Danio rerio: one gene and its partners. The protein of the gene in region 3 purifies or fractionates together with the protein of the main gene of each other region. This does not show direct contact. Links are inferred from orthologs where the notes say so. Each region holds a gene or a part of one and is shown on either strand. Other genes may lie near its edges.

The links.
Region 1: the proteins of rpl7l1 (region 3) and rexo4 purify together in Homo sapiens (affinity purification with mass spectrometry; 3 studies listed by BioGRID and IntAct, with this or other methods). This does not show direct contact. The link is inferred for Danio rerio from reciprocal best matches to the Homo sapiens genes RPL7L1 and REXO4.
Region 2: the proteins of rpl7l1 (region 3) and pes purify together in Homo sapiens (affinity purification with mass spectrometry; 4 studies listed by BioGRID and IntAct, counting the BioPlex papers as one, with this or other methods). This does not show direct contact. The link is inferred for Danio rerio from reciprocal best matches to the Homo sapiens genes RPL7L1 and PES1.

Annotation. Positions count from the first base shown.
Region 1 is NC_133196.1:7,189,054-7,192,572, reverse strand, and holds part of rexo4 (RNA exonuclease 4), read right to left. Parts: intron 1,091-3,519; coding exon 938-1,090; intron 857-937; coding exon 663-856; intron 1-662.
Region 2 is NC_133180.1:13,536,077-13,539,595, reverse strand, and holds part of pes (pescadillo), read right to left. Parts: intron 2,988-3,519; coding exon 2,842-2,987; intron 158-2,841; coding exon 1-157. UniProt on the Homo sapiens protein: Component of the PeBoW complex, which is required for maturation of 28S and 5.8S ribosomal RNAs and formation of the 60S ribosome.
Region 3 is NC_133195.1:39,945,466-39,949,589, forward strand, and holds the start of rpl7l1 (60S ribosomal protein L7-like 1), read right to left. Parts: upstream 2,817-4,124; 5' UTR 2,787-2,816; coding exon 2,773-2,786; intron 1,257-2,772; coding exon 1,148-1,256; intron 1,074-1,147; coding exon 910-1,073; intron 28-909; coding exon 1-27.

The DNA of each region.
Region 1 (3,519 bases), on a different chromosome or scaffold from region 3:
GTATAAATGCAATATCACACTCATAGCAGTGTGATATGGCTGTATATCGTCACTGGTGGGACGCTAAGGCATTCTGCCTATGGCCTCATGCCAACACACCCCTCCCACCACTGCCGATATACATCCATATCACACTGCTATGAGTGTGATATTGCACATATATACAGTTGGGGTCAAACTGATTTGCCCTCCTGTGAATTTGTTAAAAAATATTTCCCAAATGATGATTAACAGAGCAAGGAAATTTTCACAGTATTTCCTATAATATTTTTTCTTCTGGAGAAAGTCTTATTTGTTTTATTTCGGCTAAAATAAAAGCAGCTTTAAATTTTTTAAACCATTTTAAGGTCAAAATTATTAGCCCCTTTAAGCTATATTTATTTTTGATAGTCTACAGAACAAACCAATATTATACAATAACTTGCCTAATTACCCTAACCTGCCTAGTTAACCTAACCAACCTAGTTAAGCCTATTATTCAAAATAAATATTATTCACTGTCATCATGGCAGATTAAAGAAATCCGTTACTAGAAATAAGTTATTAAACTATTTAACTTAGCTCCATTAGAATAAATTTACAGGAGGGCTAATATTTCAGAAGGGTTAATCATTCTTACTTCAGTATATAACTATAACAATGTCTATTATTAAAGTTCTGACCATTCTTGATGTCGTCCGGTCTGATGCCGCTAACCGCCGTTCGGTAGTCCGTAACCTTCTCTGTGGGTTTGACGTATTTGTCATAGATACATTTCCCGAAGTGGTTGACGAGGGAGACTCGGGCTAAAATACTGTCCTCTCCCTTATATCCAACACCCACCATCTCGCAGTCCATCGCAACCGCACGAGTCACTCTAAAAACCACAAAATAAATCATTGAGTGACATCACTTCCTGTTAGCAATGACAGGAGCAAGTGTGGTCATGTTCACATACCCCTCAAACGCATGCTCTTTCACCAGCATCTTCTCTGTGTTTTTTGGATCGCACTTCGCTAATCCGCAGCGTTTCCGCATGATGTCCGCAGCTTCTGTCCCTAAAGCGGACTCGATGTCATCGGGGTCCACGTCGTCAAACCAGAGGTCCGGCCTGAGGGAAAACAGGGGGTTACATATAAAAAAAGATGTAGGATGGAAGTTGGTTATCAACAACGAAGCTTTTTTTTCTTGCAAATGCATTGGCTATTTTCCGATTTTTCCCCTTGAACTCTGTGTTTATATGGAGAGAGAGTTGAGAGTTTAGAATTTATTGCCATGTCAGCATCTCTGGCTATTTTATGGCAAAACCAGATCAATTTGACAATATTTTATAAATATAAGTTGAGTTTATCTCTCACTTCTTGACTTTAGACCAGGGGTCATTAAACTTGTTCCTGGAGGTCCAGTGTCCGGCAGATTTTAGCTCCAACCCTAATCAAATACACCTGAACACGCTAATCAAGCTCATACTAGGTAAACTTGAAACACCCAGGCAGGTGTGATGAGGCAAGTTAGAGCTAAAGCCAGCAGGGACACTGGCCCTCTAGGACCAAGATTGGTGACCCCAGCTATAGGTCATTCAGCTTTTTTCAGTGTATTTATTTAGATTAAACATTAGATATTTAATTTATTAATGTAGATTTTTCTAGTTATTTTGTTTATTTTTTGCAATAGCTTTTTAGCTTGCTCCACATATTTTCTATCTGATCTCATAATTCATACCTCTAATCATATCTTCTCTAGAGTTCATATCTCTAATTTTGACTTTAGCTTTAGTGTTTTTATTTTTGCCATGGAACAAAGTGTAAACAAAATAAATAAACAAATGCAACACTTTGCTTCACAATTCTGACATTTATATTAGAATTGCAAGTTTATTTCACACAACTCAGATTTTTTTTCTTCTTTTAGTTATTTTATATATTACACTTCCAATCTACTGGAAATTTTGGATTTTTGATAGTATATTGTGACTTTTTACAGAAATGAGTTTACATTATATATATAATTTTGACTTTAGCTCAAACTTTTTTTTCGTTCTTTTCTTCTTTTTCCCTCACCTTTATAATTTCTTAGAAATGCAGCTATATTTCTCAGATTTTAGATTTTCTTCCTTTAAATTGTTTAATTATCTAAAAAAGTGCATTTATTCCAATACAGTTTTTTTGTTGGCATAACTGATAAAAAAAAATCAAAAAAATGTGGATTTTTCACAAAATTTTGGACTTTTGAGAGTCTAAATCTCTAATTTTGACTTCAACTTGAAAATTCTTCTGTCCGGCAACATAAAAAAAACTTTTCCCATTATATTTTTTTTCTTGCCTTTCGAAATTAACATCTTGCAATCCTGTTTTTTTTTCTCCGCCACAGAATGGAGTTGTTTATAGAAGGTTATACATATATAGAAGGTTTACCCCCCTTTTTTTCTGTTTTAAGCATTTCCCAAATGATGTTTAACAGAGCAAGAAAATTTTCACAGTATGTCTGATATTTTTTCTTCTGTAGAAAGTCTTTTTTGCTTTATTTTGACTAGAAAAAAAGTTGTTCAAAGTTTTATGAACCATTTTAAGGTCAAAATTATTTATCTAGTCAAATATTATTTACTGTCATCATGGCAAAGACAAAACAAATCAGTTATTAGAAATGAGTTATTAAAACTATTATGTTTAGAAATGTGTTGATAAAAATCTTCTCTCCGTTAAACAGAAATTAGGGATAAAATAAACGGTGGGGGAATAATTTAGGGGGGCTAATAATTCTGACTTCAACTGTATACACACACACACACACACACACACACACACACACACACACACACACACACACACAAACACAAACACACATTTCTGACTTCACTTCTGTGTTTTCTCCAAACACAATAAATAAAAAAATTATAACAATTAATATAATAAAGCTGTTTAAATCTCACAATTTATGATTTTTATTCTTAAAACTATTATAACTAATAAAAATATTAAATTAAAGAAATATTTGTCTATAAATCATACAAGAAAATGAATGTAATCCGTCTTGTAATATCATAAACTGCAGGGGCGGACTGGCCATCTGGCAATTCTGGCAAATGCCAGAAGGGCTGGACCATTTTTTTTTAAATGTGGGCCGGTATGCTATTTTTTATTACATTTTTTTTTAATAAGTATTCATTTTACATACAGGCAGTTTTTGTTTCTTGCAAGAGGTGAATATTATGATAAAGATGATGATAATGATGATGATAATAGTAATAATAATAATAAATGTTAAGCATTGGCCCAATCGGTAATGGCCAGCTGGTTTCGAGATGGGCCCACCCAATCAGAGGTTACGCATGACATAATCAAAATCTGGCAAGAATGTCAAACAAACATTAGGTGCAACACAAGCTAATTGTCAGAGATGGACCGTGAAAAAAGGAAAGGCGGTGTCAAAAAGCTCAGAGAAACTTAAAAATTGCTCTAAAATCAGACGCTGCCAAATGCATAAAATTAACTGAAATAGTCTCAAAAGGGGGCAGCACAATGGGTAGCACTGCCGCCTCAC
Region 2 (3,519 bases), on a different chromosome or scaffold from region 3:
TTCTCTTCTTGCCGAACATGATCTTGTCATAGAGGTATTTCTCTTTCTTCTTCATCATCATAATGGCCAGTCTCTTCTCCTCTGCTTTCTCCTCCTCTGCTGCTCTCGCACGGTTCTCAGCTTTGGCTTTACCAGGAGTCACCTTTACTGAGAGGCTCTGAGGGACAACCACAACAAATTGAATTTGATAAAAAAAAAAAAATTCCTAAATTAAGTTAGCAAAAGTGATTTTACATACATACAAAGCATACTAAGACTACTACTAAGTGACTACTTCAATGATTCTAAACATTTTGTGGAAAAAAAAATAAGGGTGATTTAAGGTTCAGTCCATCATTCAGCCTTACATATGTAAAAACGAAAATACATATTTAATCTGAATGGTACTCATTTTACATGTGCTCATACTTAATGTTTTAAATAAATCAAGTTCATTTGAATAGTGCTTTTCACAATAATTATTGTGAAAAGCAGCTTTAAAAAAGGTGCACATTATTGTATCAGAATCCACATCAGAAAAAGTTATTAGTCAACAACTTTATTAGTTGCTAATTACTTCAACTAACTACTCACTAGTAGCTTTTAGCAGTTAAAGTCAATATATATATATAATCAGTGTTTTGAAGGATAGTGATAAAGTACAAAGTTTTAAAATAACAAATTAAGATTTTGGAGCAGCACTGTGATGTATAATAACAAAATATATATTTTTGAAGATTTTTTAAAATATTTCTTTACACTAAATATTCACAAAATGATTTTTAAGAAAAGGCAAGGCAATTAATTCGGGTTTTGACATTTTTTACTCTACACACTTAAAGGTTCTTAATGGAGTATATACACACAGACTTTTAATTTCAGCCAGCCAGCGCACTTCTGGTGAACTGTCCTTACATAATAAAATTGTCACTTTTTCTTCAAAAATCAGTGATATTCACTGCCTGATAGATATACAATACAAAGGGGGTCTCAGACCGGACAAGAAGCACTGTATAAAATTCCATTTCCCCCTGCAATGTCTTTAAGATATGAACATTTATTTTATCCCAGTTTTTTCAACTGTGTTTCTGCTCTCCCCTGCTGATCCTAACGGCGCTATCGGTTACACAGTCTTGCATCTTGTTTTTTGCTTGAGCAACTAAATGAATGCTTAAGTTTATTTAACTGAGAGTGTTGTAATCACATCACAACATTCATGCTGTAAAAGGAACCATATGAAATAAAATAAAAAGTAACATTAAGCCTTCACCAGAAGTTTATCATTGGCTGAAAAACACTAGCTGTGCATATAATCCATTAGCGTTGATAGTTCCACAAATAACCTTTAATCCTTTAATCTCCAGGAACTTTCTGATTCCACAAACAGGTACTGGACAATCAAAAAGGCTTTAGATTAAGTAATTGATTTTCAAACTACAGTTTTGTTAGGAACTGGATATGGTTCTATTGTGGCATCACTGTTAAAACCCTGTTTTGGCTGTTTCTGCCATCTTTATGTGTAAAGGTATACAAGTGCTGGTAACTGCTAATTTACATTTTGCAAATGACCATCGAGATATAAATCTTCTTTAATTGATCTACTTAAGAATAAGTCACCTCTTGGATGGCCTGAAGGCGAATAAATAAGCATTCACTTTTAACAGATGTGATGCAACAGCCTTAAATATTTTACTGTGTGCAATTTCTGTAAAACTGAAGTCAACAAGCAGAACTGCAAAAATATTCTACGTGCAAAATCAAGAGCATCCAAAACCAAGGGGCAATCTCCCGCTCTCCCTCCTCAAGTAAACACGCAAGTAACTGAAACTGCTATTCATCAAAAATTCACTAGGCCTGGCTCCAAAAGAGCTAATTTCTATTGAGCCCAATGTTAGAATGGCCAACTTTACAGCAAAAAAAAAAAAAAAAAAAAAAAAAAAAAAAAAAAAAAAAGTTTAAAGCCTGGTACAAAAAACAATTTTGATGTATATAGCTAATAATATCACTGTTCATGACAACTGTAAGGGGGGTGATTTTTTTTATAACTCATCCTTTTTTCTTTATTTTTTTTTCTTTTGCGTTATATTAAGTCTGCATAATTACGGGTGTGGCCACTTGAGTGACAGCTAGGTATCGCTGGTCGCAGTCACTTCACCTCAGCTGATTCCAGCTGATTAGCTGCTGAACTCGTTTTGTTTTATGTGGCTTTACAAAGTCAAATGCTATTCAAGTGGCCTCCATTTCCCTTGTTAGTGAAATTGTTTACTTGTATTTCATATCTATAAATGTATTTATTTTATTTAAGATTTATTTATCATTCATAATTTTCTCTAGAATTGTAAAGCACTCTTGAACCTGACAGATTGATTAGCTGTATGCTGTAGAACAGTCATCTGAAACATTGTCAAACAGTGTTCTGCCTGGATTTCATATATAGCCTTGCATTTACTAACACAGACTATATTTGACGTATTTGTAAGTAATTTACATTTTCCTCCTGTAGAAAAACATCATAAGAACAATACTTAGTGGCTCAATGTAATACAACAGTGTTTTTAAAAGACTAAACACTTTATTGATATAGTATACAACCAAGCACGTGGTCAGAACACAAACGAATTGCAGGTAATAAAGTCCTAAGCGTTTCTCCCAAAAAACCCCCTATCTGAGCAAAGGTCTAGACACATTTGTAGCTCCACCTTTTTGCCCATTTTTGGTTACCCCCGGTCAGTGCGATGACATGCAAAAAAAAACATGGCACCAGTTGGCCATGCCCACTTATAGCTTCATTTGCGCGCTTCAAAACCTATGGGTGACGTAATCGATACTACGTCCATATTTTTTTTTACAGTTTCTACTAACCTTTCCCTGAGATCTCTTCTCCTCCATTTCAGCTAGATTTGCTTCTTCTTCTGCTTCCTCTTCATCCTCACTCTGCTCATCGTCCTCTTCGTCTTCTTCATCATCCTCTTCTTCTTCTCCCTCCTCTTCCTCGTCTTCTTCTGCTTCTGTTAAGAGATTGATGGTAAATTTAACAATCGTTCGACACTCACAAATCAAAACAGTAGAGATGCACGATCGACTGGCCAGGGACTAGAATCAGTTTCCTTGCTTGATTGATCAAACCAGTAACCAGCCGGTCTTAAAGCTGATTCCAACTGATCTGTTGTTAGCCACAGTGCAGATTGTGACATCACAGAGCCGTCAAACTTTTTCTGTAGTTGCCATCCACCTATAATTTGTTTATTTGAAAAATTTCCTAAAATTGCTTAATAGAAACACAAAGATGCACATAATTTTGAAAATGTGCAATAAAAAATGTGCACATAACTGAATAGATTAAACCAGAGAAGCCCAAAGTATGACCTGCGGGCTAAAGTTGGCCCTATGTAATCTTCGATTTGGCCCACCATCCCGTCTAAAAAAAGAGGGAGAATGATGGGGAGGGGTTGGGGCGAATGCCTTTGACAGTGATCGTCATTTCCAATTCAACAAAACCTTTTGCTTCTTTGTTTTTTTACTGAGCTACTAAAACTAAAC
Region 3 (4,124 bases):
ATCACTTTAGGGCTCACACCTTTGATCCTACAATAAATGAAAAATCTAAATTAAACCCTAATAAAAACAAAGGTAATAAACCTTAAAGGATGGTTAATCCAAAAACAACTTAAGTCATCACATACTGTTATGTTATTTAAAACAAAACTTTTGATTGTCACAAAAAATGCATCTTGCATCATTTCATTAGTTACCCATACGTGCAGTCATGACGTAGATGCTCAGATGTAAACAACATCATGGATCGCACAATAATCAATTACTGAATATACTGTTCTGCATTTAAGACAAAAATTAGTCTAAGGTGCTAGATTATACAGAAAACTTGGTAAGTGTGAAAATATGTAATATTTAGTCAAACAGCTCTCTTCTGTTTAATTTGCTCACTTTTGTCGGTCTTTAGTACTCTTCAGTGCTTAAGTACAGGCCAAAACTTGACAAAAACTAATTTCAACAGCAGTAATCAGCAAAATATGCAAGTTTCATTCAGTGGCATTGTTTACGCTTTGCTTTCCAATATGGTCAACTGATGACGCATCGTGAAAATAACATGGAACATTGTTGGAAATAACATAAGGGCGAGTCAATTATGATGCAATTATATTTTTGGGTCAAATGTTTCTTTGAAGTTCTCCTATTATGCTCTTTTTATAAGATGTAACTTGAGTCTAAGGTGTCGTTGGATTGTGTAACCTTACTGGGCTTGCCTAGGGTGAAAATTACTCCCCTTTTGGACTAGAATCAAGGTGTTTGAGAGAGTCCAGAAAAATCATACCTGTAGTATAATTTGTGCTTTGTACATTTTCTCATGGTCAAACAGCCATATTAAACTCCAAAGAAAGTTAAAAGTGTAGCAGCATAATAGAACAGCTTCAATGTCAACGTGAATGAGGCATGAGTGTAAATTACTCTCTAATGCGGACAGCGAATGCCAGGCTGTTTTTGGCTGGTGGCATGGGTGGTGGAGGTCTCTTTTTGAGTCTGGCGAGCCTGGTCTCATCTCGATGCTTTCTCCTGCTGTTTTGCAAAAACTCCTCCAAGCGCTTAAACTTGAAGGGGATTCCTTTTTGGACCTGGTGAAATATTTAGTTTATTAGTTTGTTTTTGAAGTAATTATTGGACTATTAACACATAGAAGAATTCTTACCCTTTTCTTCTGCTGTAAAGCAAGTTTAGCTTGATTGGCTTTGATAGCCTGGTATGCCTTGCGTTTCTTGAGAAGATTCTCAGGAACAAGCTTGATCACTTTCTCAGTTCTGAACAAAAGATATCAATGTTTTAATACAAACTTTATAAGACCTTATACAATTCATTATCTGCATGGCTTCAATCTACTATTATTTTGTTTATGATGAGGTTAAATGTTTTATTTAAAGACAAATATAAAGATAAAACCTGTAAAGAGAATCAACAGACAATGCTCTTTAATTTAAAGGAATGGGCAGCAAGAAGTTGACTCAGTGATGTAACCACACTTATCTGTAAATTAACACTCTGTCTACTGATTTTACTTGTTAAACACAACAAAATATACATCACTGAACATAAAAGCTTTTGCTATTATTTTTATTGTTGCTTTTAATTAAAAAAAAGTCTCACAACTGTTAGCAAATGCTACGACAAATAAGCTAAAGCATGATAACTGACTATAAAACGGTAGCATCATTACATTCAATATGACTAGTATCCTTTTTTATTAAATTGAAGAATAATAACATCACTCACTGCATTGAATAAAAAAATACAAGAAGAAAAAATAAGAAAAACACACAAAACAACAAAAACTTTACAAAGCCTAAATAATTAAGAAAAAAATATTATCATGAGTTTTAAAAAACTTATTATTTCTATTATTATTATTAATAAGCTTAAGAGATTCAATATTGAAATAAATGTCAGCAAGGAAAGTATTAAATCTAGGTATTGCCTTTAGGAACTTTTGTGTCTACGACTAGTATCCTCACCACAGATAATTTTATCAAGAAATATCATTGATGTAGTTTTAATCAGTTTATTGAGACATAGTTGATTTTATATTCACAAATTCGTTATGTTTATCGATACATTGTTTACCTATTAAAATATTCGGTCTGAAATCGCATGCAAGTATGCCTTCAAAACAACATTAGCACTATTTGAGAGTTGTTGCCTGCTAATATGATTTCCCTGTTTTGAATCTGCAAAAAAAAAAATTTCCCAAGTTAATTTATTCAAAAGAAAGTCTGAATGTGCGAAAACAACCAAATTTACCCAGATTAAATTATCTGTTCGCATATCTTTGAGGCATCTCTGTATTTATTATTAGTGTTGGTTTACTTATTTTTTAATTTCTTTTAAAGCACTGTCCAAACACAAAATCATTAGCGTATGTCACCATATGTTTAAGTTGGTGGCATCGGTGCCACTGCTCTGAAATGTTAATCTGGAGCCCTGCCATCGAACTCCAAAACTACAAATAATTCCGTGACAGTACGTCCATTGTAAACATCTACACATGACAGAACAGCCAGACAGTCTTTAAGATCTAAAGTAAAATTACAACAAAAAAAAAACAATAGTAAAAACAACTTTCATGTTAGTTCAGGTAGACTAGAGTCGATCCATGTGAAAACAAACTTTAACTAATCACCCTCATCACATTGTGTCATCCGGATAAATTTTGTATCCAACAATCTATACACACTATATAGACGCTGAAAACGAAAAAAACTAGATAATAGTTTTGATCTTCATCACAGATTGATTAAGATTCGAAATAAGTAAAATACGCACCCTGGTTCTGCCATCGCGTTTGCTGTGACAAATTCCCGTCGCACAAAGATGACGTTTTGTTTTTTCCTTTTTTTGTGTAATACTGCCCCCTTTCGCTCCGGAGTGTCTATTACATTTCACTCACTGCCACTGATATCAGATAACTCACGTTCATCACCATGTGATTACTACTTCATCGACAATTTGCTTTACATTTCACACATAAGCTTTAAGAAGTTACGTGACAAACTAATGAAGTTTTCCCTTCTGCAGGCTGTCAATTCTTACATTTCTTAATTTAAATATGCATTATTAAGCATGTATGAAAACTAATAGCCTACACTATTAGTGCAGATTTTCCTAAATAACTTAACAAAAACAAACAAAAAAAAACTATTTCCTCAAGACAAACTTAAACGTTGTGTTGAAAAAGCCTGACCAATAGGTTTGAAGCTATTTTAAAGCTCAAAGTTTAAAAGGTTTCACGGTGGCACAGTGGGTATTACAATCGCCTGACAGCAAGATGGTTGCTGGAGTCTTGGCTGGGTCAGTTGGCAAGTCTGCGTGGAGTTCGCATGTTCTTCCCGTGTTCGTGTCGGTTTCCTCTACAATCAGACATGCGCTATAGGTGAATTGGGTAGGCTAAATTGACCATTGTGTACGTGTGTGAATGAGAGTGTGAGGGTGTTTCCCAGTGATGGGTTGCAGCTGTAAGGGCATCCGCTGCATTAAACATATGCTGGATAAGTTGGTGGTTCATTCCACTGTGGTGACCCCAGATTAATAAAGGGACAAAGCAGAGAATGAATGAATTTACAAGCAGTTTTACAGCTTAAAATTTTAAGGTTTTATATTTTATTAGCAGGAGAGATAGATGTTAATATGTTGTACCATATTACTACCATTACCGCCAGCCAGCCTGTTTATAAGTATGTTATGATATGTTTACATCATGTCATTAACAAAAACTGTGTTTTTACAGTTTTAACAAGGTGCTACGATATTGATATATGTTTGCTTGCTTGGTTTGGGACTTGTGGAGCTGTGCATCAAGAGATTTTCTCTTCATTGTTTGGACTTTCAGCAGTGAAAATTAATCGACACTGAACTGAACTAAACTGAACTTCAACTCTGAAAACTGGACTCACATAGTTTCAATTGACGAGAACTTCTATGTTAAGCTGCTTTGACATAATCTACACTGTAAAAGCGCTATAGAAATAAACATGAATTGAATATCATGTTTTGCAAGTTGGCATATTAATCACCCTGTAACTTGTTGCTAGCAAGTTTAGTGTTTCTAAAATCTTTAGCGTGTTCTTGCACATTGCTAACATTTTTTAACAAGTTGCTGACATGTTTTAGGATTCTCA